3 linked regions of the Lonchura striata genome follow. The protein of the gene in region 3 purifies or fractionates together with the protein of the main gene of each other region. This does not show direct contact. Links are inferred from orthologs where the notes say so. Each region holds a gene or a part of one and is shown on either strand. Other genes may lie near its edges.

The links.
Region 1: the proteins of NDUFAF4 (region 3) and TIMMDC1 purify together in Homo sapiens (affinity purification with mass spectrometry; 3 studies listed by BioGRID and IntAct, with this or other methods). This does not show direct contact. The link is inferred for Lonchura striata from reciprocal best matches to the Homo sapiens genes NDUFAF4 and TIMMDC1.
Region 2: the proteins of NDUFAF4 (region 3) and NDUFS8 purify together in Homo sapiens (co-immunoprecipitation; 3 studies listed by BioGRID and IntAct, with this or other methods). This does not show direct contact. The link is inferred for Lonchura striata from reciprocal best matches to the Homo sapiens genes NDUFAF4 and NDUFS8.

Annotation. Positions count from the first base shown.
Region 1 is NC_134604.1:14,297,117-14,304,704, reverse strand, and holds the start of TIMMDC1 (complex I assembly factor TIMMDC1, mitochondrial), read right to left. Parts: upstream 3,003-7,588; 5' UTR 2,984-3,002; coding exon 2,892-2,983; intron 2,786-2,891; coding exon 2,620-2,785; intron 1,471-2,619; coding exon 1,382-1,470; intron 1-1,381. Other genes in the region: POGLUT1 (protein O-glucosyltransferase 1), read right to left, coding at 5,255-5,411, 6,029-6,085, 6,598-6,765.
Region 2 is NC_134608.1:52,535,061-52,541,426, reverse strand, and holds NDUFS8 (NADH dehydrogenase [ubiquinone] iron-sulfur protein 8, mitochondrial), read right to left. Parts: upstream 2,277-6,366; 5' UTR 2,250-2,276; coding exon 2,192-2,249; exon of another isoform or gene 2,187-2,191; intron 1,620-2,186; coding exon 1,572-1,619; intron 1,490-1,571; coding exon 1,427-1,489; intron 1,342-1,426; coding exon 1,252-1,341; intron 1,171-1,251; coding exon 998-1,170; intron 931-997; coding exon 802-930; intron 717-801; coding exon 585-716; 3' UTR 503-584; downstream 1-502.
Region 3 is NC_134605.1:75,118,472-75,125,777, reverse strand, and holds the start of NDUFAF4 (NADH dehydrogenase [ubiquinone] 1 alpha subcomplex assembly factor 4), read right to left. Parts: upstream 3,021-7,306; 5' UTR 2,996-3,020; coding exon 2,869-2,995; intron 2,398-2,868; coding exon 2,300-2,397; intron 147-2,299; coding exon 1-146. UniProt on the Homo sapiens protein: Involved in the assembly of mitochondrial NADH:ubiquinone oxidoreductase complex (complex I). May be involved in cell proliferation and survival of hormone-dependent tumor cells. May be a regulator of breast tumor cell invasion.

The DNA.
Region 1 (7,588 bases), on a different chromosome or scaffold from region 3:
TCACCTACTCTTGTGGCATCAGATTTCCCTCTGGGGTAGGTAAACCAACTCCTCCTAAACATCAGCTAAGCCTCAAAACAGTCTGCTCTCAGTTCAGCAGCCACATACTCCCCAGCCTCCTGTGTGACATTGACAAGCCAGCAGCAATCCTCCTCTCCTTCCCAACACAGATAAACCCAAACATTTTGGGTTTTAATTGTGAAACTTAAAGTTTTCACAACTGCAGGATGGAATTTGCAACTTGGGCTTTACAGAAATGATGCTGAGCAGCAAATAGCTTTGTTCAGAACCTTTCCAAAGGGGCTGATCTGACTGCAGAGGAGACACCTGGTGGAAGACAACAAGGTAACATGTCAAACCCAAAGAAATCCAGAAAACCCAAAGAAATCAAGAGCTCCAGGAGAGAAAGCAAACAGCACACTAACTAAGCCTAAAAACAGATACTAAACTAAAAGGAGCCACAGACATCAAGAGACAGTGAGGAAGAAATTCAGAAAGGAACAAAAAAAAATTAGGGAGATAGAAATATAAAATCATGCCAGTCAATATTGTGGGATCTTAAAAGCAGAAGGAGAACTTAAACAGAACATATCTGCAGAGAGAGTCAATGCAGGTTTAAATTTACAAATTTAGTAGTCTGAACAACAGGGAAGGAGATATTTCTAGTTTAAAAGGGCTTTGCTCAGAAGACGACACTTAGTTTGATGTTCTACTGCCAGAAATGCACTGCAACATCCAAGGAAGAAAATCAGGGAAGCAGAACACTCTCTGCATTGGCTTTGTGTGTGTAGAAAAATCCTGAAGGCCTAACAGGTACATAGAAGCAGTAGATCTGATATTCAGCAACTGCTCAAGAACAAGACAATCCCCTGCAAATGCCTGAGGACAAGAACAAAGAATTGTAACACCAGTGTATACAAAGTAGTAGTAGTGACAATTGTGAGTACCACCAGCGTATACAAACCAGGAGCAATGAGACATTGTAGGAAGGACAAAAATCAGTGTGGGTTAGAAAGCACTTCCAAAAACTGCCAACACACTTTAACACTCCCTCAGATTAAAAGCACATAAAGAGATGAAGGAAAAGCAGAAAGCAGCTGTCAAGAAAGAAAAGCATGCAACTCAGTAACAGATGTACAAAAAGGGCTTTTCCACATTTCAGATTTGTGTTGATTCATTAGAAGATGAGAATTCTGAGGCAATTCTAAAAGGTTAAACTCTCTTCATGCTCCTGCCTGATCAACCAGACTCAGGTCAAGGTAACAGCAGGAGCCTCAATCAAAGGCCAGAGCTGTGGGCACTGCTGGCAGGGACAAGGACAAGGACAAGGACAAGCACCAGCACAGGGCAGCTCTGCTGCCCCACATCAGGGAACACTCACTTGAACATGGTGGCGAAAGCCGCGACCCTCCAGCTCCAGCGCCAGCCGTAGCGGATGAAGCTGCGGAGACCAGCGCGGTGTGCAGATTGCTGAGGGGACAGAGAGGACATGTCACAGCTAACAGCCCCTCCTCCTGCCAGCACCCTGCAGGCCAGCCCAGGGGACCAATGTCTCCTGCCGCTGGTACCCCAGCTCCGATCAAGTCAGCCACCTTTGGAGGAAAAGCTGCTCCCAGCCACCAACGGGAAAACCAAGAATCAGTTCCAGTTTGGAATGTCAACTGGTCTTTCTAATCCTGCTGCTGAAACACGTCTGGGTGGACTGGGAGGGCTCTTCAAGGACAGGACAGCAGCAGAGGAGAAAGAGAAAAACTAGAAACTACTTCATATAGAAAGTAGTTTCTACAATAGTAGTAAGTAAATAATAACCATCTGCGTTAAATATTAAGGTATCATCAAGCTCTGCAGTTTAACACTGGCACTTAAAAGTTTGGAAAGAAGAGTTTTTTTTAAAATAAGTGGTAAACAGAGGCTTCATAAAATTTAAAAATGTTGCACTGAATACCATGAAAGTAAATAAATTTTCTCTTCCAGTGTTTGTGGTGTAGGTTCTTAGCCTGGGTCAGATATACCAGTCACCAGAGCGGAGCCAGGCAGTGGCAATTTGCAGGTCACCACATCAGAGGCCAAATTTTGTAAGTAATACAAAATTAACATCAGGCAGATTTTTAAAAAGGTTTTCTTCCTCATATTCCACGTAACCAACACTTTAATTGAATAACAAACACCTAGAAGTTCAAATACATCTACAAAATGTCACAAGTGTTCTTTGTTGTGCTGTTCTTCTAAAAGAATTTTAAATGGTCTAAAAATGACTCACATTAATAAGACAAGAGTACAATCCCAGTTTGATACTGTGAAGTCTCCTGTCAGCAGACTAAAACGCAAAAGCAGAAAGCCATTTCGAGACGTATTAATCAGCCACTTAAGAGAATGGTAAACTTTGTTACCAACCTTCCCTGTGATGAACGACGCTTTTCTGAAGCTAATTTGCAATTTGGCTAACGGGGAACCCTAATTCCTGCTAATTCCCGCAGCGGATGACCTGCACGGACTCACACACTCCCAGCAAACTTTCTGTGCCAGACCCGCACACGCGTCCCCCCGGCCCGAGCCCGGCCCCGGCCCCGCCCGAGCCCGGCACCGCCGTGCGCCCCGGCCGCAGCCCCGGGCCCGTACCACGGCATCGGCGCGGTTCTGGAACATCTCGCCGTGGCTGCTCTCGATGAAGGCCTTGCGGGCGCTGACGAAGGCGGGCAGCCCCCCGTACAGCCAGCCCACCACGCCCGCCGTGAACGCCGCCTTGGCGATGTTCACCGTCTCCTCCGGCAACTGCTGCCGCTCGCTGCAAGGCAAGGGCGGCGATGGGCGCGGGGTGGGCACGGCGGGACCGCCACCACCCAGCCCCGCCCGTCCCGCCCCGTCCCGCCCGAGCCCGGCCCGGCGCTCACTCTCGCCGCCAGAGCTCGCGGAGCCGCTCCCAGCCCGTCTGCGGCAGCGGCGCGGGGCCGAAGCCCGCCCGGGCTCCGGGCAGATCCGCCATGGCCGAGCCCGCGGCGGCGGCGGCAGCGCCCCCTGCGCCCCGGCGGGGCACTGCGAGGACGGCTCGGGACCGCTCGGAACCGCTCGGAACGGCTCGGAACAGCTCGGGACCGCTCGGAACGGCTCGGCTCTGCGTTAGTCACTGATGAACAACTCCGAGTGTTTGCCCCTTTGTGCAGGGCCGGGTTTGTTCCCCACAGCGAGAGAGGAGCTGAGTTCTGGGGGCTGTGGTGCCCGGTTTGCATAGGACAGAGGGGGAGCAACCCCCGGGCAAAGCCTGCGTGGAGAGATGGCGCCACTCATGGGGCTCACTGCCTTTCCTGAAACACCTCTGTTGTGAATTCTTCCTTTCACCAAAGAAGTGAAAGCTCCCCACCAGGAGAGGTGCCTGGGCCTTCCCACCGGGCTTGTGCATATTTTAACCCATGATTCTTGAATTCCCGGGATTCTTCCCCCACTCCTGAAGAATCATCACTTTGGCCAAGGGCCACCTAAGCTGCAACAATCAAGTGTCATCGCAAGATCTATGGGTGGAAAAGCTGGGGCTCTGCAGACCTCCTATCACTCTTCTGATGAAGAAAATGCATCCAACAAAACTTCATTTTTTGTTTTATTCCAAAAAGCCCTTCATTACAAATGGTTTTAAAATATCATACAGAGATGTTCGGTTTCTTGGAGTGCTGTCTCTCTGTTGGCTAAAAATAGAAAACCAGAAAACCCCTTCCACTCTGGCACAACTTTCCTGGGAAACCAGGTTAATGCCCCATTCTGTTTCCTTTGCTGGATGAAATAACCCCAGCACTGGTCCCAAAACCAACACACTGCCCCAGCAACCAGCACTTGATCAATAGTGCAGCTGCTATGTCCCTGTGCCAGGGCTGCAAGGCCTCTGCGAGGGCACACATTAAATGTTATTGTTCCATGCAATTTCCTTCTTCCCTGATACACACTGACTGCAGAGGGCCTGAGAGCTGTTGCTATCATCCTCTTCCATTATAATGTGCTGCTCTCTCAGCCTTGAGGCTGCTTTACCAACAAGGAGGCTCCCCTGGGAGGCTCCTGTGTCCCTCCTGGCACCCCACACTCTTCCTGTCTGGGTGCCAGAGAAGATGCTGCTGCCTCCAGCCTCTTATCTTAGGGGGCACAGAGCATTTCAGGAATTGCAGTCCTTAGCCAAGAGGCTGTGGTGGGCATAAACACAGCGAGCACAATCAGCCTGTGAGCAACTCAAAATGGGTAATGTGAGCAGTAGCTGCTACTGTGTGACTGAAGACATTCCCTCAACCAGGCTGAAGGAGATGAAAAAAGAAGTGGCACAGATGTGGGGAAGAAAAGCAAGTAGTAAAGTGAGCAGATGTATTACCAGTCTCAAAAAAAAAAAGGCCACCCCCCCCCCAAAAAAAAAACAAAAACAAAAAAAAAAAACCAAACCAAAAAAAAAAAAACAAACACTTAAAATAATCCTGGAAAGATTACAGAAGGGGATCAGAGCAGACTCTGCACTTCTGGAAAAAGGAAGTGCTGAATCTACCTCAGTGAATACTTTCTCTGGGTTCCTAAGGATGACATCCCAGGATGTCTGGCCAGGCAGCTGGTGAGAGATAATTAACAGGGGCTCAGTTGTGCAGGGCTGTGCAGGCACCCAGCTCATCTGCTGGAGGAAGAATCTCTGTCTCAGTTGCCAAGCACATCACTGGTGATGGCCCCATCACCACCGTATGCTGATCCCCTGTGAGGTAGGTAGGGTAACTCTGCAAGGATCAGTTATCCTCCAAGGGCATGTCAAAACCTTACCATCGACCTCTAAAACCCAACATAAACCCTAAGCTACCCAGAAAGTTATATAGCCCCAAATCCCAGTACCTGCGTTTGTCAGAGAACACCTAATACCCCAAGTGCTATCACCCAGCTGAGAAAACATTTGCCAAACAAAGGGGCAAGTATTTACTAGCTGAGTGCAGCTCAGCCTGTGTCCTTTGCCATGACCTTTGGTAATAAGTCCACTAAGGCTTCTCATCGACTGAATGGGATTTAGGATCATTTTGAGACAGGTAGTAACTAAGTCCTAAATGCTAACATCCCTCCTCTAGGCATGACTGACCACCCCATTAGTCTTAATCCAATATGCTGCTTAACATTCTTGAGGTGACAATATAACCAGGTCCCAGTGCAGTTCTACTGTGAAAGGTAAGTCTGAGAGAGCAAGAAATAATACTGATCTTCAGATTTCCACAGTGACCAGTTTGAGCCAGAGAGAAAAACAGAGAAGTCTCTACAGTTCTGTTTTCAGCTGTCCAGAAGTGATCTCGCTGTAGCTTTTCCTCCTTTTCACTTTGTAAGTCAAGATCTGGGAATATTCAGACAGCAGATGCTCCCAGTAGCAAGAGATGTCCTCCATCTCCAAGTGCTCAGTGATGAACTGACGTCCCCTAGAGACACACAAGTCACAGTCAGGACTGTTTTCCAGTTCCTACAAGAGTCATTAGTTTTGGTTTGGATGTATATCAACTTTCGCATTTCCTTGTTTCAAATGAGAAACAACACACACTGCTCTGTACTGTCTGTTTTAATTTTACAATTTTCATTCATGCTCACAGCTCTGACGGCTGCAGTGCTTTTGCTATCCTCAGGACGGTATTTGCTATCTGGGATAATAAATATCAGATTCCACTTATCACATGCAACTAGAGCAGCCCTGATGCATGCTGCTTCAGAGCAGCCTGGATAGATAATGTTTACAGCGCAGACACAGCTCCCAGGAGCCAGCTTGTGTCATACTGAGATGAAAGCTCCCAACCTCTGCCAGCTTTCCATGGGGTTCCTGACATGGGTCACATGTGAACTGAAGAGCTAAGCACAGCATCCTGCTCTCTGCTTCCCTCTGCTTGCTATCACTGCTCCAGCCCTCCTACTCTTATTGCAGAAGATCAGTTATACTGCACCCTACTAATACTGGTTGTCTTTGATGGGCAACCCCTTCAAAAGCAGTGTAAGACAATGTTTTAGAAGAAGACTGCCTAATAGCCAGGAAGCACATACTGCTTACCTCTCTGAAATTTCTTGTGCTATGGCATCGTTTTCCTTTACAAACTGCAAGAGCTCCCTAAAATGAAGACACATACACAGAAAAAAAAAAAAAAAGCTATGAAACAACTGGCTCAGTGGAGAACATAATCCCTTAGCTAAATTGTTGGGGAGGGTGAGGTTAAGAGTCTACAAGTGAGTGAAAGAGCTGCTCACCTCAGCACAGAAGCAACTTCTCTGCTTGATTGTTTCACATCACTTCTGGACAACTTCCTGAAATCTGGGAGCTAACACATTTTTGGCCCACTGGTTAAGTTCTTCTCCCCCCTTATCACTGTTGCCCACTTGCAAATTTAAGTGTCTAGTGCCTGCTGATTTCAGTGAGAGTGAGAATCTTACTCCAGTGTAACTGCACTCCCCAAATCAGCAAAGGATTCTCTGGGGGTAGTGATGAAAAGACCATGACCTCCAAAAATCTTTGCCTGATGCCTCAGAGTGGAGGCACTTCATGGCCTAACACAAACCATCCCACCTTCCCAAAGGCTTCCCCATGGTATGCAATGCTCCATGCAGTGGCCTCAGGCCCCACACCTGACGTCAGAGAGGTCTGACCGCACCGGGATGTAGTGGAGCCAAGGCTTCAGCTGGGGGTAGAAGAACTCCAACCACTCCTCTCCGACATGGAAGACGAGTGAGCCGCACAGGAAAAGGTGCTTCAAGCGGAAACTGGCCGCCACTCCCCGGAAATTAAACAGGTACCTTTGAAAGGAAGAGCAAAGAGAGGGACCTGATCACACATCCTGTGTGAGGAAATGCACTAAGGTGTGCTGGTCTCCAAGGAGCGGTGAACCTTCCCTGACAGGCAGCAGCTGAGCAGCACACCAGTCACTAAAACAGAGGAAAGGCATTTATTTGAAGCTGCTCACAGGAAAGGTGAGCTGAAGTTAAGGGTGTGCTGGGTGAGTTTCTGCTGTCAAAACTCACTGAGAAATTCAAGGTGTGAGGCTTTACCTCTGATAAAGGCACTGTCTGTGACAAACCAATGAGGCCTTGTGGACAATTGCCAGCAAAGCATGGAAGATCACAATATGGATTCCGTGACCCTATGGGGTCACTCAGAGGCTTTATCAACCACAAGGAAATTCTTTCCAATTCTCTCTTGCCTTTCAGTGAAGTTTTTCTGTTCATCATTGTGCTTTGCCACATCTATCTCAGGTTATTTTTTCCTCTGGGATTCTGCTTTAATCTGAATGTAATTGTTTCATAGTAACTTGGGAATGCAACCATAGGAGGTTAAATGGGCCAGCATACAACAGATGGACTTTGCAGATAACGAAGAATCCAAAAGTTTGTTTTCAGTATTTTCTGCCAAGTTAGAAAAGTGGGCTTGACTGTGGCAAGGGGGTATTTCTCTTAGCAAACTGTATCTCATAGGGATGTTTCTTTGCTTACTTGTTTTCTTGATCAAACCCACATTTCTTCTATTATATAGAAAGCTGTTTTTCCTACGGGTAAACCTCCCCAGAACATATACTGATCTTTGAAGTTAAACATTTTGAGCCGGGGGAAGAGAGTTCTTCCT
Region 2 (6,366 bases), on a different chromosome or scaffold from region 3:
GCTCCTAACAACTGGTAGCACTGGGATCTCCCTGCTGGGATCACTGGGCCCCCCACGATGGTACCACTGTGAGACCACAGGCACCACACGCTGGTACCCACACACCAGCATCACCGGGACACCCATACCAATACCACTAGAGGCTCCCCCACTGGTACCATCAGGACCCTCTGCTGGGATCACCTGGATCACAGGCATCACTGGGACCCTCACACCAGTACCACTGTGAACAGGATCACCAGGGCCCCCCCAACCTGGCTGCCTCAGAAGCTGGAAATGACCCTCCCAGATTCCTAAATCCCACCAGCACTGCTCCTCCATCCTTGCCTGCCCCCCTCCACCTCCCACACTTTTCCCTGCAGCCCACCCCCTATCCCAACACTGGTGCCAGCACCCCCAGGATCTGAAGGACAACCCAAAACACAACCACACACCCAGGGGTGGGATCCCCCTGAGGGTTAGGGGGGTCTGACCCCAGCGCTGGAAAAGAACAGACACGGAGTTATGGGAAGGGGCTGGCACCCACAGTGCCAACAGAGGGGCTGAACTCCCAAATGCTTTATTTGGGGGACGGGTGGGGGCCATCACCGGTACAGGTAATCAGCCTGGATGTTGGCCGCGATCTCAGCCTCCCACTTGTCGCCGTTGTTGAGCAGCTTCTCCTTATTGTAGAGCAACTCCTCGTGCGTCTCCGTCGAGAACTCAAAGTTGGGACCCTGCCAGGATGGGATGGGGTCATCCTTGGAGTCACCGTGGTGGGACAAGGGAGTCCCTGCAGTCCCCCCTGCAGGCCCCACTCACCTCCACGATGGCATCCACAGGACAGGCCTCCTGGCAGAACCCGCAGTAGATGCACTTGGTCATGTCGATGTCGTAGCGGGTGGTGCGGCGGCTGCCGTCGGCGCGGGGCTCGGCCTCGATGGTGATGGCCTGGCGCAGGGACACGTCACGGCTGGAGCCCCGGGTGAGGAGGAGGAGGAGGGGGAGGAAGTCTCACCTGTGCTGGGCACACGGCCTCGCAGAGCTTGCAGGCGATGCAGCGCTCCTCCCCGGACGGGTACCGGCGCAGCGCGTGCTCCCCGCGGAACCGTGGGCTCAGCGGGCCCTTCTCAAACGGGTAATTGATGGTGGCCGGCTCACGGAAAAGGTAGCTCAGGGTCATGGCCAGGCCTGTGAGGGAGAAACAGGAGTTATGACATATTTGGGGAGGGGATGTCACCCCACAAATGAGGAGAGTGAGCAGGGTCTCACCTCGGACGAGCTCGGTCCAGAGCAGGGTCTGGGCAGCGCGGTCAGTGATGGATCGCATGTCCATGGCTGGCTCCCGGATGTTGACATACTCTGCGGGAAGAGGGGAGCTGTGCTCACCCTGCAGAGCCCTGGGCTGGGAGCTGAGCCCCCACAGGGGTGGCACGGCTGTACTCACTGTAACAGTCCCTGGGGGTGCTGGTGCTGAGTGGGCGCAGGGAGCCACGTGGGGCCAGGGGGCCTGGGGAGGGACAGGAGGGTCAGTAGGGTCACAATGGGGTTTGAGGGGTTCAGGAGGTCTGGGGATTCCTGGGCAGCCTCACCTGTACGGGCAGCCTGGTACAGCAGTCGCAGCGCTGCCATGGCCAGTCCTGGGGTGCAGAGAGAACCTCAGCAACTAACAGTAAGGGACTGGGGCAGCCAGGGCTCCCCCACTTCCCACGGGGGACACTGGCACCCTGATTCCCACCCCTCCACCTAAAGAGACCCGGACCCCCAGGCACCCCTGTCCTGGCACCCCATAAGGGACCACAAATGCTTCCCCCTAGGGAACTAAGTATCCCGTTTCCTCTGCCAACCCCTCTCAAGGCACCCAGACATCCTACCCCTCCTTGCAGCTCCCTCTTAAGAGACCCAAGTGTATCCCCCAGGAGATTCGGGTATCTGGTCCACCCCCTAAAAGGGACTCAGCTGTTCCCCCAAGGGACCATCCTGCTCCCCCACGCCCACCTCCCAGGGGCACCCAGGTGTGCCGTCCTCTCCTGTCACCCCAAAGTCCCGCTAAGCCTCTGCGTGTCCCTTCAGAGAGGATGGGGGCGGAGGCTAGCGCAGTGTCCGGCTCCCTCCCTCTGCCCCACGCAGGATTTGGGCGGCCACTACACGCCACCGGGAGACCCACGGCCCCGGGCCCCCCAAGCTCCCCCGGGCCCCTTTCCCACCTCACCGGCCCCGAGCGCCCTCCGCCGTCCTGACCCCTGCTCGCCCCCGCGGCCACTGCGCATGCGCGTGGGGCGGTGCGTCGTGGGCGGGGCGAACGGCTGCGGACTTCCTTCTCATTGGTGGGAGTGCCGCACGGGGCGGGAAGAAAGAGGGAAAGCGTCAGTGATTGGGCAGAGCGTGGCCATGCTGCGTGCCGATTGGCGGGGCGGGAGGAGGGGGCGTGTCCGAAGGGCGGGCGGAAGCGGAAGCGCGTGTTCACGGTGGCAACGCGTGGTTACGGTGCCGGCGCGGAGCGTCCCGCTCTACCAGGGCTTCCCGAGATCCGGAGCTTTCCCTCCGGTTTCTGGAGCAGTTCGGGCCACAGGTTCCAGGAGGTCTCGAAGGTGAAGCGGATCAGACACTTGGATTCAGTACAAAGCCCGGCTCCGTCTCTGGCGGGCTCAGCGTTGGCACCGACTCCTCATCCCCGGCACAGTCCATGGAGGCGGGCACCGGTGATGTTTCCACTTCCCTATTAAACTGTCTTTATCTCAGCTCCCTCCACCAGTTATCTCCATCCCCCCACCCAGGGGGATCCCCGTGGGATTCAGCCAGGACAACCCACAGCCTAGCAGGAACGGATATCCCTTCACCGGCACAACCAGCCCCCCAAAATGGAGCAGCATGGAGTGAAGGAAACTGGGATCATGGGGCAAAGGACACTGAGATCATGGGGCAAAGGAAACTGGGGTCATAGAGCAGGAGAAACCAAGATCATTCCAGCTCAAGGATTTGGGATCAGGGTGTTGTGGACCTTCTCACGCAACGAGGGGCACAGTAAACCCCTCTGCTCTGGTGGTACCAGTGGTAATAAAGCTCCAAACAGCCAGAAAAGAGGAATATGGGACTGGGATGGAGGGAAATGTGGGGGACCAGCAGCAAGAGATGTCCTGAGTGGGCATGTGGAGACCCTCAGAGCAGGGCACAGTAATTCTTACATGTCACCTTGGAAGTGGCCCGGGTGACCCCAAATTTCTGCTGGCTGTACGGGGGATGGCACAGGGCATTGAGGGATTCCCAGCCCATCCCACACTTCAGGCACCCACAGTGGCAGGAGAAGGTGTCAAAGCTGAACTTCCCCAGGTGCATTCCCAGGTTGCTGTTCCCTGGAATACACAGCACAGGACCCTAGCTGGATATGGCCATTCTTTGGGTCAAAGAACTCAAAATTAAGCTCCCAGCTCTGCAAAAGCAGCACCATGCCTCATCCAGCTGCTTTCCAAGCCATGGATGAGCTTCTGTTAGGAAGAGGACCACGGAGGTGACCTAGTGCAAACCCAAGTGGATGTCTGGAGTAGGAAGATTAGGCTGGAAGGTGGAGAAATTCCCAAAAACTCTCTTGTCAGTGGATCTTACCATTTCAATTAACATAATTAGCAACTGGAAGAGTGTCACTGATGAGGTCATGGCTCCCAGCAGATGAGCTTGTCTCCCACAGGAATACCCTCAAAAAGACATCCCATCCATGCTGGATCCAGCCCTGCTGCAAGGAGACAAGACTGCAGGGGTGGACCGGCACAATAACCAAGGTGCCTTTGGTGAGGTGGGACCAGCCCCAAGGATGAATGTTGGGAAGTGGAAGGTGGCTGGCATGAACAAGCACAGGAAAGCCAGGCAGGCTGGCAAAAAAAACCAAAATCCACACATCATTTGATAACAGATGGGATAAAATTCCATGAGTCAGCCTGAGCCAGTCAGTCTTCCTGATAAAATGCTAATTGTGGTTGGGGTGATGCCTTGGGTTCAGTTCCTCAAACATCAGCAGCCCCAGGATAAAGGGAGGTCACTGATGCCTCCTGGCCAGCTGAGAGGGAGGAGAGGATAAAAGGTGGAGAACAGGAGTGAAAAATGGGAGCTGGTAGTGGACATCATCCCATAAAAAGCAGGTGATTCTATCATGGAATGCCAGAGTAGTTTAGCTTGGAAAGGACCTTAGAGATTATCTGGTTCCACCCCCCTGCAATGGGCAGGAGCAACTTCCACTAGACCAGATTGCTTCAAGCCCTGATTCCCTGTGCTTTAAGCAAGACATTTCTGTGGATGCAGAAAACACAGAACTTGGGATGGGGAATATGGAGAGAAAGTAACTCAGGGTGCTCCAGAGATGTCCAGCAAAGCCCAAGAGCCCAAGGTGAAGCAAAGGGCTTCTGGAGGAGAATTTCCCTATGGATTACCGAGCCCTCTGGAGCTGAAAGTTCCTACTGGGACCCTTCCTCACCATGGGTGGGATCACTCCTGGCTCCCAATGGCCAGGATTGGGGATTTTGGACCTACCAATGCTTCTGAAGGGCAGTGAAGGCAGTGTCACATGCATCAGGCTGTCGTTGCCACAGAAGCCACCAGTGCTCGTCTGTTCCAGGACCTGGTTCACCACCTGGGAATGACACAAAGAAGATGGGACATGGGTCTCCCACGCCATTCCTCTCCTTCCAAACACAATCCATACCCCCTAACTAGGTCTGTGTGATGTAAGGGAAACACCTGGAGCACAAACATGGCTGGATACAGCTGCCAAGGAGCACAGGGCAGGTGTAGTCCTGGCTTGGCTCTACCTTGTCATCCAAGGAGAAGGCATAGACAGCCAAGAGCTTCATCCATGTTGGCAATGACAACAATGGGCAGGAAGATCTCCTCCTGCATGGCAGGGTGCAAGGGCAGCACATCTGCCAGCACCGTGGGAGCTGCGGAGAGGAAACCCAACAGCATCAGCCAGGCACAAAGGTCAGAGATGGCACCTTCATCATCCCCCCAGGACACACCTCCTGTACGACAGGCCACATGGCCAAGCACCCACTTCCCATTATAATCTTCTCAAAACCCAAAATATGCTTTGTGCAAGGATGAAGAGGTGAGTGACCCCCAAGCCTCACTGATGTAGCGCTCGGCCTCATCTGTCTGTCCCCCAATGGCCACACGCCCACTGCACAGCACTCTGCACTCACTGGAACTGCCTGTCCCACACAGTGCGGCCAAAATCCAGGGATTCTCGGGGGTTAGGGCCACAGAAATCATTGATGGCCTCATGCAGGGCTGGGAGCAGCTTCTCCTGCATCTCTATGGTGCAGAGCAGGTAGTCGGGCGCGATGCAGGTCTGCCCTGCGTTGAAGAAGCGGCCCCAGACCACGCGCCGCGCCACGTTGGTCACATCACAGGTGTCAGACACATAGCAGGGGTTCTTGCCCCCCAGCTCCAGTGTCACTGGTGTCAGGTGCTTGGCAGCAGCTGCCATCACGATCCGCCCCACTGGGGAGCTGCCTGTGGGCAGGGAAAACATGGATTGAGGTGGGAATCCCACCAGCCATCGCATGGCTCTGGGATGTGGCACTGGGTCCCACCAGATCTCAGATACACATCCCAGATCCTCCAACAGATCCTGGCACTCATCTCCAACCCAATCCCTGCCTTCTTAGCAGGGATGTCTGGAGGGAACCCATCTTCCTCCTCACACAAAATCCAGGCAGGGCTCCGCTCTGTCCCATGGGACGTACCAGTGAAGAAGATGCAGTCAAAGTTGTCCTCCAGCAGCCTGGTGGTCTCCTGCACACCACCAGTCACCACAGCAAAGCAGTCTTGCAAGGAAATGAGAAAGGCTCCCTCTTGTCACCATCTGTCCCCACCAATAGCATCCTGGGAGGCTGGGACACTGGCTGGGCATGGAGTAAGGGAGCAGGGCAGTACGTGAAGCTGGAGATGGTATGTGAGGCAGGCACAGAGCACAGCTCTGCCCCAGTCATGCCACAGGGATTGGAGATTGTCCCACCTTGTCCAGGTAGCTGGGCAGCAGTTCTTCCACGAGACTTTCTGTCTTCTTGGACACCTCAGAGGGTTTGACAATGACACAGTTCCCTGGGGAAGACAGGATCGTGGAGCTGCGACATGGTGACAGCCAGCCCTTCTGTGGACGAAGTGCTCTTACCTCTGCTTGGCACTGCTGGGATCCTCCAGGCCAGGGAGCTGGAAATTTGGGCTCACCAGCAGCAATGGCCCTGATGAGAGGCACCAGGAAGAGTTAGATGGGATAATTCCAGGGTGCTATGATGAGCACCACCCCATAGGGATCCTTGCTGATGAAGGCAAGAGTCCACTGCATCACCTGTGGGACACCCTCCACATCAGGTCCCACCCTGCACACCATCCCAC
Region 3 (7,306 bases):
TGATTATTAAGAAGTGTCAGAGCCTCCACAAGGGAAATTTTGCCTTTAGGAACTTTCTTAACATCTAGACCTTCCAAGTGGCCTAATTTTGTCAGTCTCTTTTCTTCCTGTTTACTTGGAAGATGTTCACCACCTCCATCTTTTACCTAATCGAGGGAAGGAAAACAAAAAGAGCTCAACAGCAGTTCTGTTTACTATGCATACTGTAGCACCTAAACTGCTTTCGTAAATATTTTTTCTGTTTAGCTTTTCCTGTTAGCTTTCCCTATTTTTTTAAAAACAGATTAGCCTGCCTAGCTTCTTTCACAGCCATTCCACATAGAGTGTCAACTCCCAACTAAATGCTGAAAAGCCTCTCTTCACTGCACTCTAAGCGTTGTATTGGCTTGGCAGCCCTTTATGCAAGGCAGACTACAGATTCTGGTAGGCAAATGTAAATCCAGATAGCCTAATATTCGCTACTGATTCACTGGAAGGGACAAAAAAATCATACAACAAATTGGTATCCTTCTGATACCACTGGAAAACTTTTTCATGTAGTCTCTCTCCCTTTCCTTTTGTTTCCAAATTTTAGTTTTCCTACTAAAAGAAATTCCTTCTTTTGCTCTGTCTAGAGAACAAGCTTTCCTGCTATTTTGCAGCATCATATGGAATTTAATTGCCATGACTACTGCAACATGTAGACACACAAACTGTCTTCTCTAAGGTTCCTTCATATTTCCAAATAATCTCCAAAACAGCTTTCACTTCCTCATATTTCCTTTAAGTAACATTTAATCAGTGAATCACACTGAAAAAAAAAGGCACAATTAAACCTTTCTTAAACTTAGAAGTATTTATATAGTAATCAGAGCCCACAGCCACTAATTATTACACAGACACTCCGTATTAACTCAGTTGCTGAGAAGACTGATGTGGATATTACAGCACCTGTGTGTGTCTGTTTCTGAGCTACAAGGAATGTCTGGCCTGCACTCCATGTCTTCTACTTTTTGCTAAAACTGTGCTTGGATAATGAATGATTTTTCAACTCTAAATAAGATCATCTGTCTCTGGGAATCTGCCACTTCAGGGCTCCCAAGCTGGTGTTTTTCCACTTACCATAGGCAGACACCCCAAACACACACAGAGGTGTGTACACATCACGTACACAATGCACAAAGTCATCAGGATAACATCAGGAATGGGAGAAAGCTTTTGTATTGCTTTGTCCACAAGTCTCTGTGATTACACTTCAGTTGTGCTCTAAAAACTGCAAGCAGACACAGCACAATGGCAAGTCTGTGGCAGTAAACTCCGAGAAGGCATAGAATCAAGCAAAGATTTGCTCCACTTTGGGCTTTTTCTCAAATCTCTCTTGACAGGCTTATACATGAATATTGAAAGATACTGAAATTAGAACTTCAGCACTTCAAGATTAGAGTCCTAACCTCTGTGATGGAAATTAAGGATAGAGATTTCTTGAAAATTTCAGGAAGAGACTGAGAAAATCTATTTGCATTTTAAATATTTTTGGACTTGAATACCATATAAGTGGCAAATTAGAGAGACTTAGGAATTTTGCTAGATGACCATAAAAATTTTACTGCTGAATAAATCAGCTGGAATAAAGTGGTCCAATAATGAAACAGTTAAAATACACAAACCATAGCAAAATATGATGGAAAAGAGGACACTGAGCCCCAGTCTGCATTTTATGAAGGAATATGCTTTAGCTTTCAAGTAAAAGTAAAAGATTGCAGCCAGTGGCAATAAGGAAATGATGACCACACAACCCACAAGATATTGTAGGAAAAAAACCTAAGGCACTTCATGAATTGGATAAAAAAAAAAGTCTCTGCACTGTACAATATTTAAAGGAGTTAAAGACTCCATTAAAGCGTAAACATCTTTGTCCTCTACCACATCCCTGCTCCCTAGCAGTCCCAGTCTCTTCTAACTCCACAAATGATTTCTGGCAAACTACTTTATCTTTGCAAAAGGCTTGAGATGTATCTTGCCTCATAGGAAGCAGAAAAAGGAATTTAGGTGAAGAACAGTAAGATCAACGCAATACTAAAAAAGAAGACTGTGTCTGCATTTACAAGCTTGTATAATTACAATCTGTCACACATTCAAAACCCAGGGTCAGACACACTCAATGTTACTGATGTATAGAAGAGTAATAAAAATACCACTTTTATCTATTGAAAAAAGATAACTTTTATGCACAGAGAGCATTTTTCTTGACACAGCCTTTGTGCTGAGTTTGAAGACCACAAAGCTGATGTTGGTATGGGTCGTAGAGAGATGCACTCACCTGCACCGGTGGATCTCTGGACTCGACATAAACATCTTTGAGCAAGGTGAGGAACCTATCGTCCTTTCTGAGAACTTCTTCTTTTATCTCTGGGCTATCTAAAGGCAGTGAGAAGAAGGGAAGGGAAGGAAAAAAAGAAGAAACGATTGATCTGAGTGAAAGAGTCTCCTTTTTGTTAGTTCTGCCAGCTCATCGCTTCCCCAGCGGCACGGCACGGCTCCCGCAAACGCACCTGCCTTCTTGGGAGGGTGCCATTGCTCCCACAGCCCTGACCTTAGCGACTCGGCTTCGCACGGTCCGGCTGGGCCGGTCACCGGTCACAGCACGGCGGGACACGGCACCCACACGCTCGGTACCGCCATCCCACCGCCCCACCACTTCCCCCGGGTCCCGTCCCCTCAACCACCTCCACCGAGCGGCCCCCGCTGCCGTCCCCCAGCGCTCCCGGGCGCTCCCTCAGCCCCTCACGCTGCTGCCGCCGTCCCCGCCCCGCTCCCGGCATGCCCCGCGCGCCCGCGCCGCTCTCAATGTCAGCGCCGCCGCACCGGGCGGGCGCCGCCGGCACTCACCGGCCGTGGCGTCCAGCCGGGCGGTGCGGTGCCGCGGCGCTGCCGTGGGCTTCTCCTTGCTGATCTCGCGGCGGGCCCGGTTCTCCACGTTGAAATTCCGGAACACGCGGGTCACCCGCCCGCCCATCGCCGCCGCCAGCCGCGCCTGCGCGCGGGGCACGCCGGGCAGGGGCGGTGTGCACCGGAAGGGAATGAACCGAGTGCTGCGGGCACACGAACAGACAAGCGAGCAGACAAGCGAGCAGACAGACAGACGAGCGAACAGACAAGCGAGCGAACAGACAAGCGGCGGCGGTCCTGCCGTGCCTTTCCTAAAGGCGGGCGTGAGCCGAGCCCGGCCCGGGCGGCTCCCGCCGGGAATGCTCGCGAAGTGCGAGCTGTGGCTGCCGCACGCTTTCCTTTGCAGGCGGAGCCCCCGGACACGCCATGGCGTGACTGTGGCTGTTTGTATATCGGCGGCGATAGGCACGGGTCGGAGCGGCAGCGAGGGACAATTCCCCAGTAGTGTTGGGAATTTGTGGGCTACACAACGCTTTCAGGGTGCAGACCCTCTTTTTGCAGCTCGACCAAATAAACTTTCTTCTGACTTTGCAAAAATTGTGAAAACTAATTGTGACAAAATGTTGAGAAGGCCTTAAGCCGTGTATGTTAAGAAAGGTAAATTTGTCGACAGAATCAAAATTGTTGAGATGGGAGTCATTTCATAGATTCAAGAAGTGTGTGAAAATATACAGAATCCTTAGAGAAAGGGAGGCAGAAAGAGTAAGAGCTACTGGCCTGATTCAAGAAGCAGTAAAGCCTGAGGGTTGACTACTTTATTCAGCCACGACTGATAAGGTGTCTTACCAAGAGAGATTAATGACTTGTTTGTTCCAGCTGCTGTGTGAATTAGCCAACAAATAATTCCCTTATGGCTTTAAATTTTGTATGTGCTGTTTGCAGAGTCTTAGTGCCTTCTGGGCCACCAATTAGTTCATGATAGTAGTTGCCTGAATGAAGTGACTTGAAGTGGGACTTTCAATGAATTTAATGAAGAACACTGAAAAGACCAGCATTCTTGTAGTTTTTGGGGGTTTCTTTTTGTGTGTGGTTTTTTTTTTTTTTGGTGGATGTTTTGTTTGTTTGTTTTTTGGTGGGAAACACCTTTTTTTCTGCCCTTGCATCTACCTCATCTACCTAGTGTTTCTTATTATTGTGGGCATATAAAACCTGGGGTTCAGAACTTGGTCTTCTATTAATAGCATTGTTTAGTAATAATAATTATGATGTGATAGTTTCAAGGCTGCAGTGTGCTTTAATGCTGGATTAATGAATGGCTGTGTTTTCCTTAGAGAGAAGCCAAATTGATTTAGAAAGGCAGTGGAAACAAGGCAGGATAAACATGGTGGTGTATGCTGGATATCTGCTCTCTTTGGGAATCAGGAAGATGCAGTTTCTCCATTTGTTTATTTTAAAGATTCTCACAGTCTGTAGGAGAACAGAAACATGTTTTTGTTCTCTGGTAATAAGCTTACTGACCTTGTCTTATTTTTGATATTGCATGTGAATGAATTAAGGAGACTAGTGATACAGTGATAATTGGAAACTTAAAATCTGCTGAAGTCAGGTGACAAGTTTAATTAAATATCTGTAGTCAATTACTTGCTGACTAAACCTGTGTTCTTAAGTCCAGGATTTGATACTTTTGTGAGTGGTGAATCTGTGTGGTGTGGCTGTAATGCAAAAATCCCCGTGGATGCCTTTGGTAGTTGTAGACCTTTCACAGGTACTTTAGCATTTGTATTCTTACTGATCCATCTGTGGATCAGCTATTGTGGCAAATTTGAAACAAAGTTTCTCCTCCAAAAGCTAAGAACTCCCAGCTTGTAGAACCAAACAGAGCACAGGGCTTCTGTCTTGATAAAGCATGAATGTGATTAACACTGCTGTAATATGTACTGGCAGCAAAATAAATTCACCAGAAAGCAGTCAGTTAAAAATAAAGAGTGATGTCATGCTCTGCCTGTCACTTCCTACGACTGAGGATAGCACAAAGCTGTTCTTTTCATGTATAAAGATGCATCAAAAGTTCAAGATTTTTATTCTGAAGAATGTTTCTTAGACTGTAGCAAGCAGAAGAATAGAGATTGAAAACAATATTTTTAATATAATTTGGTATTTTACCAATGTGACTATATTGATATTAAATATCAGTAATCAAGAGGTTGGATAGTTTTCCATATAAAGCATATAGATATCTGCAAGTGTGATTATTAAAAAATGAATGTATGTGTATTCATCTTAGACAGAGTTTCAAATGGGATGCATTTTTCTTGAACAAGGAGTCTGAGTCTTTCCAGGGAATTCAAAAATAACAAAACAGCCCATGAGAAGACTATCCAGCTGGATTCATACACACGTATTCTCAAAAAGTTTTCGTAGCAGCCTGTTCTGAACACCGGACAGCACATCAGAGAAAAATACTGTAACTCTCATGATATATGTGTGCCATAGGCTGCCACACTAGATCTCCTTGTAATCCTTCCATACCTCTTAAGAGAGAAATTTCTAAAGCTACTGGGTGCCTGGAAAGTAAGAAGTACATTTGTGACTGTTCTTTGAATCTATTTGTTTTCCATCTCAATTTTGATTATGTGTTGTGTGTACTGTTTCTTTCTCAGCTAGTTCTATCACTGAGTGGAAAATGAAAAATTAATTTTTGTATTTAACTAGCATCAAAAGTCTGATTGACCTATTGAAAATTTGCTTTAGAGAAGGGAGAATAGCCTGTCATTAACTTGTGTTACTGTGTGGGTGGGTACTACTAAAGTTTCTTTGCTGTCTTTACTACTCAAAAGATCAGGAATCAGAATATGAGTCCAGATGGGCAGGTAATTTCAGTGAAATAAGAGCCATTTTTTGGTAATAGTTGCTCAGCTGGAGAATTTTGGAGAGGAGGCAGGTGAGGTTTGCTTTGTGATTTGAGGTCTGGGAATGGCACAGCAGTCAACCACAGAGGAAAATGAGGAATGCTTTTATACAGCAGCATTAGAGGTTTGTATTTGATTCTGTCCACATTTTCTACCACTGAAACTGTTTTCCTATTCTCATCTTTCTGTTGTTGTTTGTTCATAATTGATGTCAGTCTAAATGGATACTTGAGCAAATTCTTATATCATTAGGATTCAGGGAACTGAGTCCTCTATCCAGATTACTGGTTTACCAGTAAGCACAATGAGAGCATTGATCCTTTTATTCCTTACCTCATCAGTGTTAGGCAGAACCAGAGAACACAGCATTAGCAAGAATTGATTATGAGCCAAGTAAAAATGACTGTCCTGCAACCTTGTAAAGATGAACTCAAGAGAGATGGACTTACTGATGGATCACTTTCACCTTTCAGTGATTTTTGGTTGTTCTGTTACTTAATTCAGATTATTTCTCTATTATTGGTTTCAACTGATCCATCTTTTACTGGCCTCTGAAGTATCTACAGAAGGATCTACGTTGAAGGATTTTGCTTAATTCCAGTCTGTGATCAATGTTCCCGAACACTTGCATATTTTCAAGGCTAGGTGGCTGCAGTGCTTTATTTAAAGGAGTTTTTGTCAAGTCCTTATGTGGATGAAGTTTATAGCAAGTGCAGCAAGCTCAGTGTTACAGACTCACACACCAGCCCAGACAGATCACCAGCTCCTTGTCAGATAATACTAATTTCAAAGACATGGCATTTAAATTTTCCTGATGGACTGTGGCTTGATACCTGACATAATCTTCCATATTTTTCCTGTATGTTGTTTCTCAATTAGCAGGTTACTTTGACTTGGAAATGCACAGTAGGAGACAGCATATTTGAGAATGAGGCAGCCTGATACTGGAATTAATTAATTTCATCAGTTACACATGCCTTTTTACTGAATTTTTACTCACAGGTTTCAGCACCCCATGTTCTCTTCTCAGTTGCAATATTAGTTGAGACAACTGACAGCCCTATTATTTCTCGTAACTCTGGTTTCAGTTCATCCTTCTTGCCAGTGTCAGGATGTAGGAACATCCCCAGAGCAAACAGCATCACACAGATGGTCTGATTTAAGAAAGAGAAGAGCTCTCCTAACTCTTCTAAGCTCTATCAATCACCGATGGTTTGGCTGGTCCACAGAAAGCTACTGGAAACACAGGAGGAAAAAAAAAGGCATGTGACAGGAGGAGTGAATAATGTGAACTGATACTGCTGCCAGGTTGGTTGGTTTGTGAGAGTTAGCACTTTGTTCCCAGATTGTTTCTCTGCAGCAGTGGCAGAAAGAACTGTGCCAGCTCCAGTGAGTAGGAGGAGGTGAACCAGCAATGGGAAGAGGCTGGATGGAGTGGAGAGGTGACTGGCTCATCTTGGGCTGGCTTTGGGGTAGCTTTGCTGGTGCTCCAACATCACCCAAGACAAACAACATCCTTTGTACTGACT